5 linked regions of the Canis lupus familiaris genome follow. Each later gene encodes a partner of the first gene's protein in a complex. Links are inferred from orthologs where the notes say so. Each region holds a gene or a part of one and is shown on either strand. Other genes may lie near its edges.

Region 1 (4,211 bases):
TCCCATTGCTAGACTGAAAACTTTTTTTTAAAAAGATTTTATTTATTTATTTATTCATGAGAGACACAGAGAAAAGCAAAGACATAGGCAGAGGGAGGAGCAGGCTCCATGCAGGGAGCCCAATGTGGGACTCAATCCCGGGTCTCCAGGATCATGCCGAGCCAAAGGCAGATGTTTAACTGCTGAGCCACCCAGGCGTCCCCTAGACTGAAAACTTTTTGAAGATAGATTTCTTATTAATCTCTCCCCACATAAGCATTTAACATAAATTTACTTGTACTAGATGTTTAATAGCAATTAAAATCCAAATTCATCCTCTCCATCTTAATGTAAGATCAAAAGACACAACAAACCTCATTAATGGGATTTAATCTGTTTTCCCTAAAGAGGAACTCACATAAACTCATACAGGAATATGAGGGGACAGGTGAAAGTGAAGGTAGTATATCTTTAAAAAACTTTTCCATTTCTTCTCTAGTTATTTAATACACATTTTCTAACCTCTCTGTGCTTTAATTTTGGTGATTTCTATTTTCCTTAAAAATGAGCCATTTTTCTTAGACATTAAAATTTATTTGGCCTAAACTTGAACATCAAATATTTCTGGTTTGTTCTGTTCTTCTCGTTTCTTGAGTTGGGTGCTTATCTCCTGTTTGTTAACAAAAATATAGAAAGCTATGAATTTTTCTGTAAATAAGGTATTGGCCAAAGCCCATAGGATTTGATGTCACGTTCTCTTTGGTCAATGCAGTAGTTAAATGTTGGAAGGAGGTAAAAATGTGACTAACCCAGTAAGTCCCTCACAGTCTCCATTGAACGATTCTGCAGCGTGTAATGACAAAGTTATGCTTGAGCAACATCTAGGAGAAACCATATTTCGGTCAAAGGGGTTCTAGAATCCTGGCTTCTAGCTCTTGCATAAAGTCTTAGTGTGACATCAGGTCCCAATTCTTCACCAGGAAAACCAAGAGGCTATGCCAAAGTCCCTGAGGGGCGCCTGGGTGGCTTCCTGAGTGGGGAAGGAGGCACTCTTGATCTCACCGTCGTGTTCAAGTCCCACCTTGGGGGGGGAGAGTTTACGTAAAAAAAAAAAAAAAAAAAAAAAAAATCCCTTATAAGTAGCCTCGACAGGTAAGGGCAAGGATTAAAAGTATTAAACCCAATGGCTAGGTCTCTGGAACCGAAGCAGCATTAAAGTTTTGTCTCTTCCCTCTCCCCGCCCACCTTTTCATATCTAGAGAGTTATGGTGAGTTAAGAGTTTTATCTTAGCTTGGAGGGACCAACCAGGAAGGCGGTCGGGAGAGCACTAAAAATCTCGGAATACTCCTCTAGCCTCATCAACACTTCCCTCCCTACCTCGCCGTCTTCGGCCGTGGCTTCCTTCAAGTCCCCATCTCCGTCCACGTCAGTTTCCTCCGGGATTCCGTCAGTATCTGTAGGCCCGGGGACCCCGGGAGCAGGGGCCGTTTCATCTGACTCCCTTGCCTCTCCACCTTTTTCCGTGGGCGACTCGCAGGCATTATCCATAGCGGTAAGAAAAAGAGCGGAGAGATCGCCCTCCTGTCAGATCCTGGAGCTCACGCACGACCTACTGGAGCACAGCAGCCCCGAAGCTTACTTCCTGTCGTCGCTCTGTGATGACATCACTCCTACCGCTCCTCGGAGGGGACAGTTTGAAGCACGTTTAGAGTACTTCAGGACTCCCTTTTAACTCTGATTCGGTGACGGTTGGAGAGGGAAGACTGAGGTTACAGAATTCAGTTTGTGGATTTTCCACACTGGGAAAGAAGAGTTGTGTTGCTTACTGAAGGACTTTTTTCTCTTTTTTCCCCCTCCGTTCTGCCTTTCCAAAAACGAAGTTAACTGCTTAATCCGCTTTTCTCAGAGTCAAGTTTGGGGACGGGAGAAAACTCCATTCCATTGTACGCGGGTGTGGTGGGATGCGGCTACCTGGTAAATTTATAGGCGGGGACACAGCTTCGTACATTTCAATTGGTTAGCGATCGTGGGCCTGTGTGAATCGCCAGCATTTCTCTTCGGTTCCTTATGCACCTTAAAAAAAAAAAAAAAAAAAAAAAAGTCATATAGCTCGAACAGAATTGATCCAACCCATTTATTCACGCCACAACTGTTGAGCGCCTACTTCGAGCTAGGGACAGTTCTAGTAGCAACAACACATAGTTTCTACCCGCATAAGTGATTTTTCAATTCACCGGTCCTAAAGATCGAGGTCGGTTTTACAAACCTGACTTCTTAGGTCAGTTTGGTTAATCTCATCAAAAGGAGAGGAAACGGATTCTACTGGGAAGGGAGGTCTCGTCTTTGCATATTTCACTTTAACGAGCCATGTCAGAGATTGGGACCATCAAGAAGTGGAGGGATTTTTATTTAAAAATTTTCCTCTCTCCCGTGATTGAGGTAAGAGTGGGGCATTTTATTCACCTCTGTATCACTAGGCCCCCACAGACACCACAGATTTAATTTATGCGTGCTCAAAGAATGGACTTGGAAATGTAGGTGGGCGTTACCGTATTTCTCTCTTTGTTTGCACGCTGCCTGGGTGAATTACCGTATTTCCTGTCCTGTGGGCTCCCAGAACCTTTGGGGAAGGAGCGCACTTCGGGAGGCGCCTACAGGTGGACTCCGTCTGTCCCCTTCCACCCGTACAGCGGGAATCTCCAAGTCGCTTTCCTCTTGCCGCTGGAGGCGTATCTCCGCACTCCCGGGTCCACTTCCCGCGGCCCAAAGCCACCTGCGCCCGCCGGCCGAGCCCCGCCCAGCTAGGTGGGCAAGGGGGCGGGGCGTGGGGGCGCGGTGACGCGTGACGCCAGATCCCGGAAGTGACGCGCTCCTGGGGCGAAAAGGCGGGGGGAGGGGGGTGGTGTCCCCGGCCGGTTTGGGGGGTGCGTTGCCCGGAGACGGAAAGTTTGGGAGCAGGAGCAGGCTCGGCCGCAGCCCTGGGAAGGGGGTCCAGGGGGCGGTGGCCCTGGGGATGGGGAAGGAGCAGGAGCTGCTGGAGGCGGCCCGCACCGGGCACCTCCCGGCCGTGGAGAAGCTGCTGTCGGGGAAGCGGCTTTCCTCGGGCTTCGGGGGTGGCGGCGGCGGCGGCAGCGGCTCCTCCGGGAGCGGCGGCGGCGGCGGCGGCGGCGGCCTCGGCCTCGGGTCCTCTAGCCATCCGCTCTCCAGTCTGCTCAGGTGAGTGACGCGCCGGGGCGGGACCGCCGCCCGGGGATCCCCTCTCCCCCGCCTGTCCCCTGGGTGTCGAGAGAGGTCCGCGCTCCGGAGAGCCGTCGGGGTGGGCTTGCGGCACGCCGGGCCGAGGGCGGGCGGCCCACGGGGCGAGGGGCGCCCGTGCAGGTTCGCGCGGCGCCGGGCTGCCGTCTGGCGTCCCGACTCGGCTGTGGAGAATGGTGGGAGTGCCCAGGCGCAGCCTCCGCCGCCGCATGGCACGGCCGGGCTTCACCTCGCCCGCCTCGGGTGCCAGCTGCCGCTTCTCACACGGCACTTCAGAGCAAAGGAATATTCATTTTAAATCTCCCTCACCTCGTGCAGAAACTCCCACGCCTTGCAGAATCTCGCCGCTCCCCTGGAGGAAATTCTCATGATTTCCTTCTTTTGGGAACTTGGAATCTTCCACCACGCCCCACGGGACCTGGCTTTTGTTGTTTACGTTAAAATTGTGTCTGGATTTACCACGTCCCGAGTGTTCTTTTAGCCCCTCTTGTGCTCGGAGCTTAGATTCTAGTGCGTTGTAATGAAGCTCATTGGGTTAGTCTGCTGAGTGGCGTACGCAGGATTCGTCAAGGGGTTTATTCGTCAAGAGACAAAGCTTTAGAAAGAGTGATTTCGGAAACTGAGGGGTGCTTTAAACTTTTCCGAGGTTTGTTGTTAAACACTTGATCTGGAGCTATCTGGATTCAGAGAAGAAGGTCACTTTTGCCTGGATTGGAGGGGGAGTTGGAGGCGCTTTGTCAGTGTGAGTAAAATGTGTTGGTCAGCAGCACTTTCATTGCCTGTTTTCTTTTCCTTCCTTGTTCTTTTGAGGTTTTCAAGAAGTGGAAGTTCATTTAGAAATGGCTTCGTTGGCTTTTGTTCCCTATTAGTTTACGTAACTTCAGTTCGAGTGAGCTTGGACCAAAGCAACCTAAGGAGGTAATAAATGTTAGGTATTAAGCACTAAGTACAAACCCAGGTCTACACAGGAAGGTTT
Region 2 (4,167 bases), on another chromosome or scaffold:
TGATGACTTCCTTTTGAACAATTTTGACGAACATGGACATATCACCTGAGTTCTGTACATACTATTAAATAATTGCAGGAATGGAAGTTGAAAATATTTAGAAATGCAATCAATCCAAAACAATGGGTTGATTACGTGAACAGTACGTAAGAGCCTTTGCTTTGTTTCTACTATTTTAACAAGATGAGTGTAGTGCTTTAAAAAAAAAAAAAAAGACAAAAATAGACCTTCATGTACAAAAGTTAGGATAGTTTAGGAAGGTTCTGTACGCAGTATTTTCTTAACCTACATATGTAACAGGTGGGTTGGAAAGTTAACATAAAGCAAAGACAGATTTCCCAATCTTTTTGACCCTACTGTGTTTTCTTAAAACTCAACATAACTTCTTTCCCTACAAAACAGGATCAAATCAGTCATTAAACCCCACCAAGAGACCACCTCACCAGAGGACCTGATACCCACTACCCCTTAAAGAGCAAGACACATCATGAGGTGAAAATTAGTTGCTTTTATTTATTGTTAAAACAACTTTTTGAAATGGTTTATAACCCTACATACATAAGAACGCTTTGAATACCTGGGAAAATAGCTACTACTTCATGGGAAAACATGCAAACCAACATCACTGCCTGCACACTAGACTCTGCTTACTGATTTCTGATGGCATCACAGAGAAGGAACAGCCACTCTGGCAAATGGAGAAACAGCAGCAAAATCCTTCAGTAAAGTTTTAATTACTAAGGTTACACTGTTCATTCCACTGAGCCTACAATTTTCCTACAATCACTTATCTGTCTATACATTCTTACTTTCTACAGGACACAGAGCAAAGTGGTTCTGACAAACAAGATAGCAATTCACATATTTGTAAGACAAATTCAGTAGATAACAGTGAAGAAAATGAGAACTACTGCAGTTATATCTAGTCCAGGTGTGATGAAGCCAAGATTCTTCTTTCAATGCTAAGGAATGAAAGCAGTCTTAGGAATGAAATTAAATACGAGAGCTCTTTTCACTTCTCCAGGAGTGATTCTAGCTCTTCCTGCAAAGAGCTGAGCTGCTCCCTTTCTCGGTCTTCCTTTTGTTTGAGTTCATCCAGCACGGCCTGAAATCTATTCTTGAGAGCCAGGTTTTCGACTTTCATAATGAGATCCTCCTGTCGTTTTGCCCTATCCTGGGTCTCTTGTAGTTTGCCTTTCATATTATCAATCTGTTTCTGAATTCCCATAACCAGTTGGTTGGTCCCCTCATTTTCTTGGTGCTGTTCATCTGATTCATTCAGCTTCTCCTGTAGCTGTCTTTCCAGATCTTCCTCAGTGTCAATGATGTTTATATCTTCTTCATCTTGATGCTGCGTCTCATCTTCATCTTCACTGCTGCTACTGAGGTCATTGAATATCTCCCGAAGCTCATCATGTTCTAATGAGTCATGGCCCTGCCTGTGACCAGACATTCCTGGAGAAGATATATCAAGGCCTTGATTTTCTGTTTCTTTTGTTTCATCTTCAGCAATTATCTCCCAACGAGTACTCACAGCTTCAGCATCTGTACTTAGCAACCGCTTCACTTCCTTCTCCACATCTGGAGATTCAATATACTTCTTCTTTGCTGTCTTCCGAAACCTTCTCTTTCTGACATTTTTTAGAGGCAGAGTAATTCCATGGTTCCATATAAACTTCTTCTCTTTGTCCTTATCCTTTTTCTTGCTTGCTTTGGGATCAGTAGTAGCAACTGGTTCCTCCACAGGAGGATAGAGATCACCATCAACTGTGGAGACAAGCATCTGACATATATCAGCTGTCTTGTAAAAAGTTTTTTTATCAATGGTTTTCAGGCTTTCCATAACACATGGCAGATCTACCAATTTGGAGGCCAATGGAACCCGGTCCACTCTGACGATTCCGTGACGTCCATCAGGGTGTAACTCAATTGTCAGTCTGTCCTTCAGATTGACATGACCAGACTGTACTGCCCGTCTCACAGTAGAGGCATATTCCGGAGGTAGCCGTAAAATAAACTGGCTCTCCAGTTCGTGAGGAGCATCATCTTTGCTCTTACTCATCTTTCCTTCTTTGAGACTCACTTCTCAACCACCACTTGTTGCACTTTAAGTTCCAGCTACTGACAACAGGTGGAGGCCAGTTTGTTATGAACTGAAATCCTTAATTACAAAAGTTTTAAGCAGAATAGGAGCTAAGCGTCTACTGTGAATTAAGGCCCAAGTCTTTATAAATCTGCTGTGATTGAAATACCAGTCGTTAGGGACACTAATCAATTAAGTCCATTTAAAACTATTAGCTGCAATTCAAGTTCCAACCTCTAGATGCCGCTGCCGGACAATGCAGACCGAGCTACCTAGCAGGAAAGCAAATGGCGGCTTCTGCGAAATGATTTTCGACACAAAAAGTAAGGCCCAGCAGACACTCCCATTTTACACTCTCTCCCGGAACAAAGGTATTCAAAAAGCAGAACGCAGTGAGCTTTCTTCGCCTTGGGTACTTACAATCCAGTGACGATTATAAGCCCAGCTTCTCCGGATAGGAGCGAGCGGAAGAGGCAGCCACTCCGAGCAAGACGGCCAGGAGCCGAGCGTCTCCTTCTTTATTCCTTTGTTCTTCCCAGGTCTTAGGAAAGTGATCCGCTACCGATTATCAATGAAATGCCGACGGCGGGCAGTGCGAAATCTCGCCGAGATCCGCAGCGCCAGACTCGGCAGCTCCGCAGCTCGGGGGATCTCAGTCCGGAGCTGCAGACCTAGCGGAGAAGAAAGCACTACGTCACACCGTGGGGCGGCTATGAGTGACAGCACGATTAAAGCGGAAGTCCGGGCTGCCCCAGCGCGCGCAGGCGCAATTACATTATCCGGGGACTTGTCCTCTCGCGATGATTTGACTTTACGCGAGAAAACGATAAATGTTTCATAAAGAGCTGTTGGTTTGAAAATATTTACAGACAAACATTGCAGCGAAGACATTGGCCCTCGCGTTCACCTTTCCCGCTCCGCTAAGCCAGAACATTTATTGGTCGCCGTGGTCCGGTTATCTCCTAGGCTTCTGAGTGATTTCCGGAAACAGGGCGTCCGTGCAGAAATCGTCTTTGCCTTTTGGAACATCTCGGATGCTCCCCACGGTATATCCATTCTGGAGCAGATACAAGAATTATAGTTAACTATAATTGTTATATATATAACAGTGGATTTTAAACTACTCAAATCAGTGGAGTGAGAAGGACATGCTGACCACTATATCATTCTAAGTATATGTTTTGTTAATTATGGAAAATGCCTGGAGGGGACCCATGCCTTAGGGACTCTTTCTTTTTTGAAAAACCACAAGGGTACATGAGTTATTCCTCTTTTTAATATGTTTGACGTAGATCTAAATGTAAACAAAGAAGCGAGTGTTCTTCTGGAGGCATATATTCGTTTAGAACATAATTGTCTGACAAACGGTCTGATTGAAGTAGAATAAAATTGAAGTATTACTCCCTGTCACGCATTTGCCTGTACTTTTTAAGTTAGGATTTTTTTTTTCATTCCACATCTACTCTTTTGAAACTGTTTTCTGCTTGTCACTTCTACGGGTAGTGAGGTACTCATTTGCATGTTTTGTAGTGTTTAGGCCTAAATATGTAACAGTTTACATTTGCTCCTATTCATTTCCATTTATTTTTTAATAGGATCAGTTTGGTTAAGCATCAAGGTCATTAAAATTTTGTTTCTGTCTTCTAAAATATGAACAACTTCATCTAAATTTAAGCAAACTCACTTAAAATGTGATTAACACTTTCAGAATTCGTTTTGTTTAGGTACTTGACTGTTTCTCTTGCACCAGATTGGAAGCTCTGTGATAATCAGGGAGTTTTTGATATCCCTGTTCATGGTGTCCCAGGACCTATTACCAAAACATGGGAAACACAAAAAAATATTTGCTAATTGAATGAAAGTTGATTCATTTAGAAATGACATATAGTCTGTTTCCCATAATAAATAATTTGTGAGAGACAATACATTCTAAAATGAGACAGAGCTACTTTATATATATTTTCTCTCTAGCCAAGGGCAGTGCCAATTGTGAGTGGAGAGGTTTCCTAAAAGTGCGTGTGAATGTGTCTGTTTTGGTTTAGGTAGTCTGTGGTATTGGGTGTCATGTGAGGAAATTAAAATGG
Region 3 (3,516 bases), on another chromosome or scaffold:
GCTTTTTATTATGGAAATTTTCAAACATATACAACAGTAGAAACTAGTATAATTAACGAACCTATCCCCCAGCTTCTTAATAATACATGACATTCTCATAAAACCCACCATTTTCAATGATTTCTTATATTCTTAATACCAGATATATTTATTAAACATCAGTATAATAATAATGACTAAAGGACAAACAAATGTTGATACCAAAGAATAAACACTTCCATTTACTCACCATTACCAAAGGTAATTAAGTAAAGCTTTCAGCCTTGGTGATAATTAGTAAATTTAAATGTACTTTTGTTTCTATAAATCTTAATTTTCCTGATAAAGTAAAATTAAAGATCATATATTTGGCACTCACTAACAACGCAAAAACATTTAGAGAACAATGACTAAACATAAGATATTAGGGCTCTAGCTCTGATACAAGTCAAAAGATTCCTAAACTGTTACCTATGTTACCCTATTATGATTCACCAAGACATGAACTAAGGGTTTCTGTCCAAGATTTCAGTGAAATTAGAAATTTCAGTCTCCTGGTGTTCATAGCAGTCACTGCCCATAACCTCATCTGAGCACTGGTGCTTGGGAAGGGCTGAGATTGTCCACAACAAGCAGACAAGAGTCCCCCAGGATATTCTATTTTTCTGTGGCAAGATGGCTACCCATGATACTAAGAGAGGAAGGGGTTTCTTGATGACAATACTTTAAGAAAAATTAGGTTACAATCCTATCATCATCAGCCTTTGTTAATTTTTTTCTAAAATGCTAAGCTAAAGAATATTTGCTTTATAACCTTCTATAAGGCATCATACAATAACGAATGGACATGATGGCATTGAAGCTAAGTGTCCCAAGTTCTATTATTCCCCTATAACCACTACTTGTGTTGTCTGACAACTGCTGGCTTTTGGGTCTATTGTTTGTATTAAAATGTTCTCATTCAAACTGTTAAGTACTGCCTCCTTTTTAAACACTCCTTTCTTTGGCTTCTATAACTCAATACCTTCCTGGTTTTCTTCCTACTTCTCTAACTTCTCCTTGCATACCTCTTCTACTTGGCCATCTGTTCTACTCTTTTTCTATCTCTTCTACTCCAAATGTTGGGAGTTCCTCAAGGCCCAGGTCCAGCCTCCCAGTGACTTATTTCATATAGCCTCCACTCCAGGTAATCTCATCCATATGCATCAATATTATACACAACTCCAATTTATGGCTCTGGTCCCTACATCTCCTTGGAACTCCAGAGACTTATATACCATTCACGAATCAACTTAGTATCTCTTAAATGAGTCAAAGGCATATTCAAATCTGAACTCAAGATTACTCCACAACCGGTCAAACCAGGTCTTCTTCCAGGGTTTCCTATCTTAGTGAAGGCCACCCCTATCCAGATGATGGAGCCAGAAACCTAATGGTTATCAATAATACTCTCATCTCCCTTACTCCATATCCAATCCATCACCAACTGCCTCACCAATATCTACTTACCTTCACAAACACTACTGCACCCTAGTCTAATATTTCTCAACAGAAGATTTTGGGGCAGAACAATTCTTTGTTAAATAGGACTACCTGCACATATTAGAACATTTGGCATCCCGAAGACACCTGCTCTTCCCCACCCTGGTCATTATGACAACCAAAACACCTTTACACATGTTCAAATAGCCCAGGAGAAGCCAGAATAATATTACCCCCTAGTTGAGGACCACTACAATCACCTCCCAAACCAGTCACTCTAAAGTCACTCTGTTCCTCCCTACAACCACCATCTATTCTTTCCAACTGCATAAAGGTCCTTTCAAAAGGCAAATCAGGGCACCTGTCTGGCATAAGTAGTAGAGCATACGACTCGATCTCATCAGGGTTGTGAGTTCAGCCCCACTCTGGGTAAAGAGATTAATAATAAAATTTTTTAAAAATGCAAATCTAATAATGACATGGACCTTCAATGACTTCTATAGCAGAGACACCTCACTGTCCCTAACATCCATTTTTTTTCTTTCTTCCTCCACAGCAGAATTCCTGCATCTTAGCTGAGCACATAAACACAAGGGAGATAGGAAGTATGAACATTGACTAACCACATAAAAAAGGAAGAGGGGGCAGCCTGGGTGGCTCAGTGGTTTATCGCCATCTTCAGCCCAGGGCGTGATCCTGGAGATCCAGGATGGGAGTTCCACATCGAGTTCCCTGCATGAAGCCTGCTTCTCCCTCTGCCTGTATCTCTGCCTCTCTCTGTCTCTCTCATGAATATATAAAATCTTTAAAAAAAAAAAAAAAAAAAAAAAAAAAAGGAAAAGGTGTGGGACACCTGGGCGGCTCAGTGGTTGAGCATCTGCCTTTGGCTCAGGGCATGAACCCAGAATCCTGGGATCAAGTCCCACATTGGGCTCCCTGCGGGGGAGCTTGCTTCTCCCTCTGCCTATGTCTCTGCCCCCACCCCTGTGTCTCTCATGAATAAGTAAATAAAATCTTAAAAAAAAAATAAAGGGAAGAGGTGTGTGCAACTTCCAGAAAGGATGTGCGCCTTTCCAGCTGACTGCAACACTAATATGACTGCTCAGAGCCAAAGAGCCATCTTGTGCCACAGGTAGAAACTACGCGACAAGGATGGAAGAGCATCGAGATGGAGAAAGCCTGGGTCCCCAGTAATCAAGGCCTCCATACCAGTCCCCGACTGCCTAACCTTTATGAGAGAGAAATGAACTTTTACTGTACTTAAGCCATATTATTTGGGTTTTCAGTCACTCTCAATCTAATCTAACCCTAACACAGCTTCCTATTGCTCTTAGGATAAAAGCAAAAAATACACTTATTTATGTCATTATTGTTTGAGTGTCCATTGAATCTCAGCTCCTAATCCTACCCAATACAACCCACCACTGCTCTCAGAATAAACAAAGACCCTCAACATGGCCCAAGAACCTGTCTGTACCAGCCCAGCTTCAGGTTATACTGTACCTGACTCTATACTCTGCTCCAGCCATACTGGCCTTCCTTCATCTCTGCACCTACCATGATCCCTCCCGCCAGAGCTATTCCACACGCTTTTCCTACTTCTCTTTATCTGGTTAGCTCCAATCCAATCTTCGGATCTTACCTCAAGATCACTTTCTCAGGGAGCTTTCCCTGACTTCTCCAACTAGATCAAACCCCTTTTTTAGGTTCTCCTAGCAGCAGGTATCTCTACTTCATGAAATACATTTTGAGTTACAATCTTACACTTGTGTGGTTACAGATGTGTATACACATTATATATGTGTGCTATTTATGTAATACATATGAAATTCACATACTTCTCAAAAAATGATTTTGCTTCATTCTCATGTTGATTGTAGACTAGTTCCAAGTACATGTGTACAAACAGAGGATAAAAGAGTTGGGATAACTCTGCCCGATGGCAGTCCAAAGAACATTCAATGAAGTGTTTCAGTCCACTATAGTATTCTTCATACATTGTGGGGTCTCCTTGTTGGTTGTAGGCTGACAGCACAGCACTGACATCCGGCTGGT
Region 4 (2,838 bases), on another chromosome or scaffold:
ACGGTGCAGTCTGCTGTGGAATGCTTTGCTGCTTTGTTTTCCCAACTAGACTCATTAGCAGTGCCAGGTGGTAATAACTATCCAACTGATTCCTACTAGTAAAATAAAATCTGCCTAAGATCACTATGGACTCTTTCCCCCATTCTCTGCTTCATTTCTGACCTGATACGCTTTTGGAAAATAATTATGCATGGCAGGAAGTTGCCATACAACAGAGAAGGATTGTTGCATCCTGGGATTATATAGGATTTCAGATCAAATACTTTTTATTGTGAGAATAAATTGAAAAACATGGTTTTCATCAGTATAGCACAGTCAAATCTATTTCTTGCTTTTCTTCTTTCCTGTTCATTTCATCATTAAAGACTCAACAAAAGAAATTTTTATTAATTTAAGAGAATGTTTGCACTGGTGTTTTTTGTTTTTTTTTTTGATGAACAACAATTTTATTTTTCACACTTAAAGGCTAATGAATAACCATTACTAATCCTATTAAAGAAAACCCAACATTCAATAGGAAAGGATAACTATATTTACTCATTAAATACCATTTAAGTTTTCTACAACACAACTTCAAAATACCCAGCATGCACGTTTAATCTCAGTACAATGGATTTAAGACCAAGTTTACAGGTTACAGCATCAAGGCTAGATTACAAATTATCATAGTCATCATCGTCATCATCATCGTCATCATCATCATCTTCTCGTTTTCTTTTCAATGCATTTGATGATTCATTGGAAGTATTTTGTGATGACACCATGTTTGTAGTGATAAGAATGTTTTTGGACCCAATTAATGATGGATTAATCAGAACATTCTGAACTGCGGATGTGGCAGGAATTGATGCTTTTACAGTTGGGGACTGTGATGTGGGCATCTGTACTGTAAACCTCTGCCCTGTGAGGGACATGGGAGTCCCTACTTTAGTTGACACTGACATGGTTTGTGGGGTTGGTGTACCAAGAGTGGGAGTACTTGGTCGGCTAGTAACAGAACCAACACTTAACCGTGGAACTGTTATTCTTCCCGCAGAAGTTGATGCCTTTTTTTGTAAAGACTTAAGTCTATAGTTTGGAGCCGTCAAGCAATATCTATCAGGTGGCAGCCTGGGGCCTGAATATGGCTTGATTAACGGCAAAGGAGTTTGATTTCTTTGCCTTGCAATATCCAATAAAAAATCTCTTGGGGGAGGAGAGGTAAAAGACTGATCAGCACGACACTGAATGGCAAGCCGCACATCGTCTGCATCAACAGTAGCCTTCTTAGCATGGCTTGAATAAATTTTTGCATCATCTAGGATTGTGGTCACATATCGGAACGCAAACTCCAACATCTGATTTATAACTCTTGGTTCATATTCTGTAATCCCCATATCCTTCAGGATTTGTGCCATCATCTGTGCATCTTTCGGCATGCTCTTGGGAGAAGCCATCTTGCCAGACTCCATGATATCTGTTGATCAGACTTCTTGAGCTAAATCACCCACATTAATGTATTTCAATCCTGATCTCGATGCAAGTTCTTTGCCTAGTGTGGTTTTTCCAACCCCCGGGGTACCGGTGAGCAGGATGTTCGGGAGCAACATTGCACTGGTGTTTAGCATTCAGTAACATAATGTAGATTCTAGAAACAAAACTAGCCCCAGGATCTGTTCAAGTAAGCTGGAATAAAGGAGTGTATCTTTTAAAGTTGTCTTTTTTTTCACCCATTATACATTGTTACTCAACAGGTAGAAATATGAAGCAGTAAAACAGTATTTAGTAAGCCATTCTCTTATCTAGGAGGCTTTTTTAGTCAGTTAAATTTTGTTTCTGCTTCATTTTTATTAAAAAGAGTAAGGTAACAAAGGGACATAAATGAGGATATGTTTTTAAAAGTAACCGCCTGCCACCTTCCAAAGAAGATAGCCAAATTCCTAGACCTGTGCTATTCCATACAGTAGCCACTAAGCCACACTTGGCTACTGAGCACTGGAAATGTGCCTAGTTCAAATGGAGATGTGAGGGACACCTGGGTGGCTCAGAGGCTGAGCATCTGCCTTTGTCTCAGGGCATGATCCCTGGTTCCAGGATTGAATCCTGCATCTGGCTCCTTGTGGGGAGTCTGCGTCTCTGCCTCTCTGTGTCTCTCATGAATAAATACAATCTCAAAACAAAACAAAACAAAAACAAACCAGAAACAAAAACAAATGGAGATGTAAAGTGTAAAACACATGTTAGATTTCAGAAACTGAATGTGAATAAAGAAGAAAAAAAACCTTAGCAATAATTTTTAAATATATAGTTTGAAAAGATATATTTTGGATATATTGAGTTCAATAAAATATATTATTAAAATTAATTTCACTTATTACTTTTTTAAAGACTTATTTGAGAGAGAAAGAGAGAGAGCACGCGAGTGTGCAAGGGGAGAGGCAGAAGGAGAGGCAGAGAGAAACCCAAGCAGACTTGGTGCTCAGCACAGAACCCGAGGTGAGGTTCAATTTCATGTCTCTGAGATCATGACCTGAGCTGAAATCAAGAGTCAGATAGATGCTTAACGGACTACACCACCCACACTCCCCTGTTTATTACTTTTTTAAAAAATGTGTCTACTAGAAGATTTTAAATTACCTAATGAGTTGTATGATATTTTTATTGGACAACACTGTCCTAGGCTGTTATTTTGGGACATCATTACTCCTGAGAACCGACCATGAATAACAGTAAGATCTTCAATCATAGAGTTAAAACTTAATTCAAAGCTTTTTGAAAAGCAACTTGGAGATACATATTAAGAGACTTACATGTATCTTAACTCTCTTGGGCAGGAATTTATATTTCTGTGACCTATAT
Region 5 (3,991 bases), on another chromosome or scaffold:
TCTCCAATTTGAGTTTCTCTGGTGTTTTCTCATGATTAGACTGTGGGTACTCATTACTAGAAAGGGTACCATACAGGTGAGGTGCCCTCTTAATGCATCATATTGGAGGTACATGATGTTATACATTACTGGTGATGTTGACTTTGATCATCAGCTAATACTTTAGACATTACTTGTCTGCCAGGATTCTCCATTGCAAGCTTACTATTTTTCCTTAAATATTTGAGGAAGATACTTTGTCATTAACATTTTGATGAGCATAATTCACCAGTATATATGTTAACTGCATTTGGTTAAAGGGTTTGTAAAGACACAAATACCAGTGAATTATTTGAAACTTTGTGTTATAAAGTAGCAATTAAAAAAAAAACAAGGGATCCCTGGGTGGCGCAGCGGTTTGGCGCCTGCCTTTGGCCCAGGGCGCAATCCTGGAGACCCGGGATCGAATCCCACGTCGGGCTCCTGGTGCATGGAGCCTGCTTCTCCCTCTGCCTGTGTCTCTGCCTCTCTCTCTGTGTGTGTGACTATCATAAATAAATGAAAATTAAAAAAAAAAAGAAAAATTTAAAAAAAATAAAAATAAAAAAAAATAAAAAAAAAACAAAGTTTCGGATAACAGATGTCAGCCAATAAATTATACAAGATTAAAGTAAGACAAGGAGAAGGCTGTGAATATTCCAAACTCTTATCATCACAAAAATAAAACAAGCCAAGCAGAACAAACATTTCTGCTAAGAAGTGACAATGCAAACATCAGTCTGGGATGCTCTGCCGTGGAAATCCCCTTCTTACGCTGATATAAGAAATAAAAACAGAATAAAGAGTATCAAAGATGGATTAAGGAGTGGTCAACTTTAGGTGAGACATTGAGATATGGAGGATTTGAGTCATTAAAAAAATATAAATATATACCGACTGCAGTTTCAAGAGCATTTGGGAATCATTCAGTCCGACCCAGCATAAATAAACCATATATTCATGTGCTGCCTCCTTTGTCACTACTCAGCCATAACTACGTGTAAAAGACACAGGATGGAGAGCACATTCTCACAGTGCCTTTCAGGGACTAGCTTTGACTGTCACTAGGAACAGCAGCTCTCCCTCTTGCTGCTGCCAAAAAGAGTCAAGCCTATCTATTGAGGGAATACACTAGAGAACCAATACATTACAATCTCTATGCCACTGTACTGTCTTACACTACTCATCACCTTTCTGTCTTGTCCAATGCTTTAGTCCGAAGGCCCAACTTAATTCCTACCATCAGTACCTGTTCCAGGATCCATCATAACCTTAGACTTGTAGTCTAGGAGTTCTGCTGCAATAGTAAGGGACACAAAAAGTAATGGAGGTATGTTTTTTGGCCCTGAATTGAAACACTGATCACATTTCTTCAATTAAAAAGAAAAGTGCATATACACGCCCACCCACCTACACACACACACAAATTGGGGTTAGGATCACTACTATTTGATTCAGAAGTTAAACACGTTTTATGGGCAAGTCTGAGAATATTGTTCCCACAGAGAACATTAATCTACTTTGAATAAACATGTCTAAAAGTTTTTATTGTCGGGATCCCTGGGTGGTTCAGCCGTTTAGCGCCTGCCTTTGGCCCAGGGCATGATCCTGAAGTCCCAGGATTAAGTCCCACATCCGGCTCCCTGCATGGAGCCTGCTTCTACCTCTGCCTCTCTCTGTGTGTCTCTCATGAATAAATAAGTAAAATCTTTTAAAAAAAAAAAAAAGTTTTTATTCTCTGTAATTGAATCATTGTCAAATATTACTTACATTCTTTAGAAAAAAGTCTCTTCCTTTTACCCTGTCCGCCTTCTGCACCTCCTCCAATTTCTTCATTTTCTTCCTCAAACTACAAATTAAAACGTATATGTGAAATGTCAAGTGCTGCATTTGATTATTAAATAATTAACGTTTAATTTTTTTTTCATTTCTAACACTGATATTGTGCCAGAAAGCCTAAAGCAAGCAGCAAAAAATCATGAAATCTCAGCGTTTTAAGAACCTTAATGACTATCCAGTCCAACTTTCCACTTACGCAGGAATGGCTTCTACGATGTCCCTAACAAATAATCCTACTGCCTCTCCTGGAAGTTATGATGACCATACGTTTTTTTTTTTTTAAACCAACTAGTTAGTCTATTACTACAGTTTTTACTATTAAGAATTGGTACTGAATCAAAGTAAGCAAACTAGTATTTACTAAGCATCGCTTACACAGGACTAGGAACTTCCCTCCAATAAGCCTGAACCCCATTTTTTGACATGTAAACAAAGGCTCAAAGTTAAGAAACTGGCTCAGAGATAAAAGAGGTTTTGAAATCCAGGTTCCCTGATTTTCGGTCCATTATTTTCCCACAACTCTACAGTAAGCACATAGTTTTGTTATCAGCTGCAGTATCGGTTCATAAAGCGCGCTAACAAACAATTAGCATTGTCCTCGGATGGCTTTCCAGGCGATTCGGAGTGTCCAGCAAACAGACACCAAAAGCAAAAGCAAGCAGAAGCAAGCAAGCAGCCACCGTCCTACTCTTCACGTCCTGCCCCACGTACTAAGAGATGAACCCGAAGGGAAAGGCTAGCTGGGCGTGAAGTCTCCGAACTCTCTCCAGTGTACTGGCTAAGGTGAATCTGAACTCAGGCTCCGCTCCTGTCCCCCAGGGAATGAAGAAACGGGTGGGTGGGAACGGCGGCGGTCACTCACAGCAGGGTCTTCCTCCTCGTCGGCCATGCCGCCGGCCAGCCTAGAAGCCGCAGCCTCGCTTGCAGCCGCTTCACTAGTTCCTCTGCCTCACTTCCGGTGACGCGCCGGGAGGGGCGGGGAGGGGCGGGGCCTAGCCGGGAGGGGCGGGGGCGGGGCCGAGCCGGGAGGGCGGGGAGGGGGCGGGGCCGAGCCGGGCGGGGCGGGGCCTAGTCGGCCAACCCGCGAGGAGGTCGCGCGGAGACTTAACGGCAGGTGCAAGCGGACAGGGGGATGAGCCGCAGGTTCTGTGATCAAGATCACGGATTGATTACGTATTAGGAAAGAAAAGGAAATCGTAGACTGGGCAGTGTGTATGTTGTGGCCCTGAATTGGCTTCTACGTATGGAATCACCGCTCCCTGATTCGGGGCTGTGAAGCTACGTATCACTGGGGTGCCAGTGGTCCTTGGGATGCCCGAAGAGTGTGTTTACACAATTTTAACAACCTATAGTTACACTATTATTATTTTTTTAAGATTTAATTTATTTATTCATGAGAGAGAGAGACAGAGACAGAGGCACAGGCAGAGGGAGAAGCAGGCTCTCTGCGGGGAGCCCGACATGGGACTCGATCCCCGGTCTCCAGGATCAGGCCCTGGACCAAAGGTGGCGCTAAACCGCTGAGCCACCGGGGCTGCCCTAGTTACACTCTTTTTTTTAAATTTATGATAGTCTCACACACACACAGAGAGAGAGAGAGGCAGAGGGAGAAGCAGGCTCCATGCGCCGGGAGCCCGACGTGGGATTCGATCCCGGGTCTCCAGGATCGCGCCCTGGGCCAAAGGCAGGCGCCAAACCGCTGCGCCACCCAGGGATCCCTAGTTACACTATTATTAATTGCCAAGCACTACACTGATTATTGGGTATGTTTTCCTTCGCCGCTAGTTTTTAAGAGGAAAACATCACCCCCTTAAACTGAGGATTAAATATTTGTGGGGAATTTTGTGATCAGAACAATGAAGAAAACCACTGGCGTTAGAAAGCTAAAGCTAGGGATATCAAATGTTCTGCAATGCAAGGCATGATGCCACACAAGGAGAAGTTGTCCCACAATATTTCTGAATGCCCTGCTAAACATTCATGTGAATGAAAAACCTATAATTATCTGAGCCTAGAACCTAACTTTGTTTAGATACTAAACATGTCTTATGTTTTTTTAAAGATTTTATTTATTTATTCATGAGAGATAGAGAGAGAGAGAAGCAGAGACACAGGCAGAGGGAGAAGCAGGCTC

What was found.
Region 2: TAF11 (region 1) and TAF7 share a complex: the UniProt entries of both Homo sapiens proteins name them as parts of the TFIID basal transcription factor complex. The link is inferred for Canis lupus familiaris from reciprocal best matches to the Homo sapiens genes TAF11 and TAF7.
Region 3: TAF11 (region 1) and TAF5 share a complex: the UniProt entries of both Homo sapiens proteins name them as parts of the TFIID basal transcription factor complex. The link is inferred for Canis lupus familiaris from reciprocal best matches to the Homo sapiens genes TAF11 and TAF5.
Region 4: TAF11 (region 1) and TAF9 share a complex: the UniProt entries of both Homo sapiens proteins name them as parts of the TFIID basal transcription factor complex. The link is inferred for Canis lupus familiaris from reciprocal best matches to the Homo sapiens genes TAF11 and TAF9.
Region 5: TAF11 (region 1) and TAF13 share a complex: the UniProt entries of both Homo sapiens proteins name them as parts of the TFIID basal transcription factor complex. The link is inferred for Canis lupus familiaris from reciprocal best matches to the Homo sapiens genes TAF11 and TAF13.

What each region holds. Positions count from the first base shown.
Region 1 is NC_049233.1:4,269,732-4,273,942, forward strand, and holds the start of TAF11 (transcription initiation factor TFIID subunit 11), read right to left. Parts: upstream 2,805-4,211; 5' UTR 2,530-2,804; intron 2,503-2,529; exon of another isoform or gene 2,444-2,502; intron 2,081-2,443; exon of another isoform or gene 2,054-2,080; 5' UTR 1,529-2,053; coding exon 1,358-1,528; exon of another isoform or gene 1,239-1,357; intron 1-1,238. Other genes in the region: ANKS1A (ankyrin repeat and SAM domain-containing protein 1A), read left to right, coding at 2,994-3,196. UniProt on the Homo sapiens protein: The TFIID basal transcription factor complex plays a major role in the initiation of RNA polymerase II (Pol II)-dependent transcription.
Region 2 is NC_049223.1:35,442,266-35,446,432, forward strand, and holds TAF7 (transcription initiation factor TFIID subunit 7), read right to left. Parts: upstream 2,813-4,167; 5' UTR 2,063-2,812; coding exon 1,013-2,062; 3' UTR 489-1,012; downstream 1-488. UniProt on the Homo sapiens protein: The TFIID basal transcription factor complex plays a major role in the initiation of RNA polymerase II (Pol II)-dependent transcription.
Region 3 is NC_049249.1:15,941,790-15,945,305, reverse strand, and holds part of TAF5 (transcription initiation factor TFIID subunit 5), read right to left. Parts: coding exon 3,300-3,516; intron 1-3,299. UniProt on the Homo sapiens protein: The TFIID basal transcription factor complex plays a major role in the initiation of RNA polymerase II (Pol II)-dependent transcription.
Region 4 is NC_049257.1:19,523,875-19,526,712, forward strand, and holds TAF9 (transcription initiation factor TFIID subunit 9), read right to left. Parts: upstream 1,580-2,838; 5' UTR 1,452-1,579; coding exon 654-1,451; 3' UTR 515-653; downstream 1-514. UniProt on the Homo sapiens protein: The TFIID basal transcription factor complex plays a major role in the initiation of RNA polymerase II (Pol II)-dependent transcription.
Region 5 is NC_049227.1:43,170,338-43,174,328, reverse strand, and holds the start of TAF13 (transcription initiation factor TFIID subunit 13), read right to left. Parts: upstream 2,803-3,991; 5' UTR 2,747-2,802; coding exon 2,720-2,746; intron 1,868-2,719; coding exon 1,789-1,867; intron 1-1,788. UniProt on the Homo sapiens protein: The TFIID basal transcription factor complex plays a major role in the initiation of RNA polymerase II (Pol II)-dependent transcription.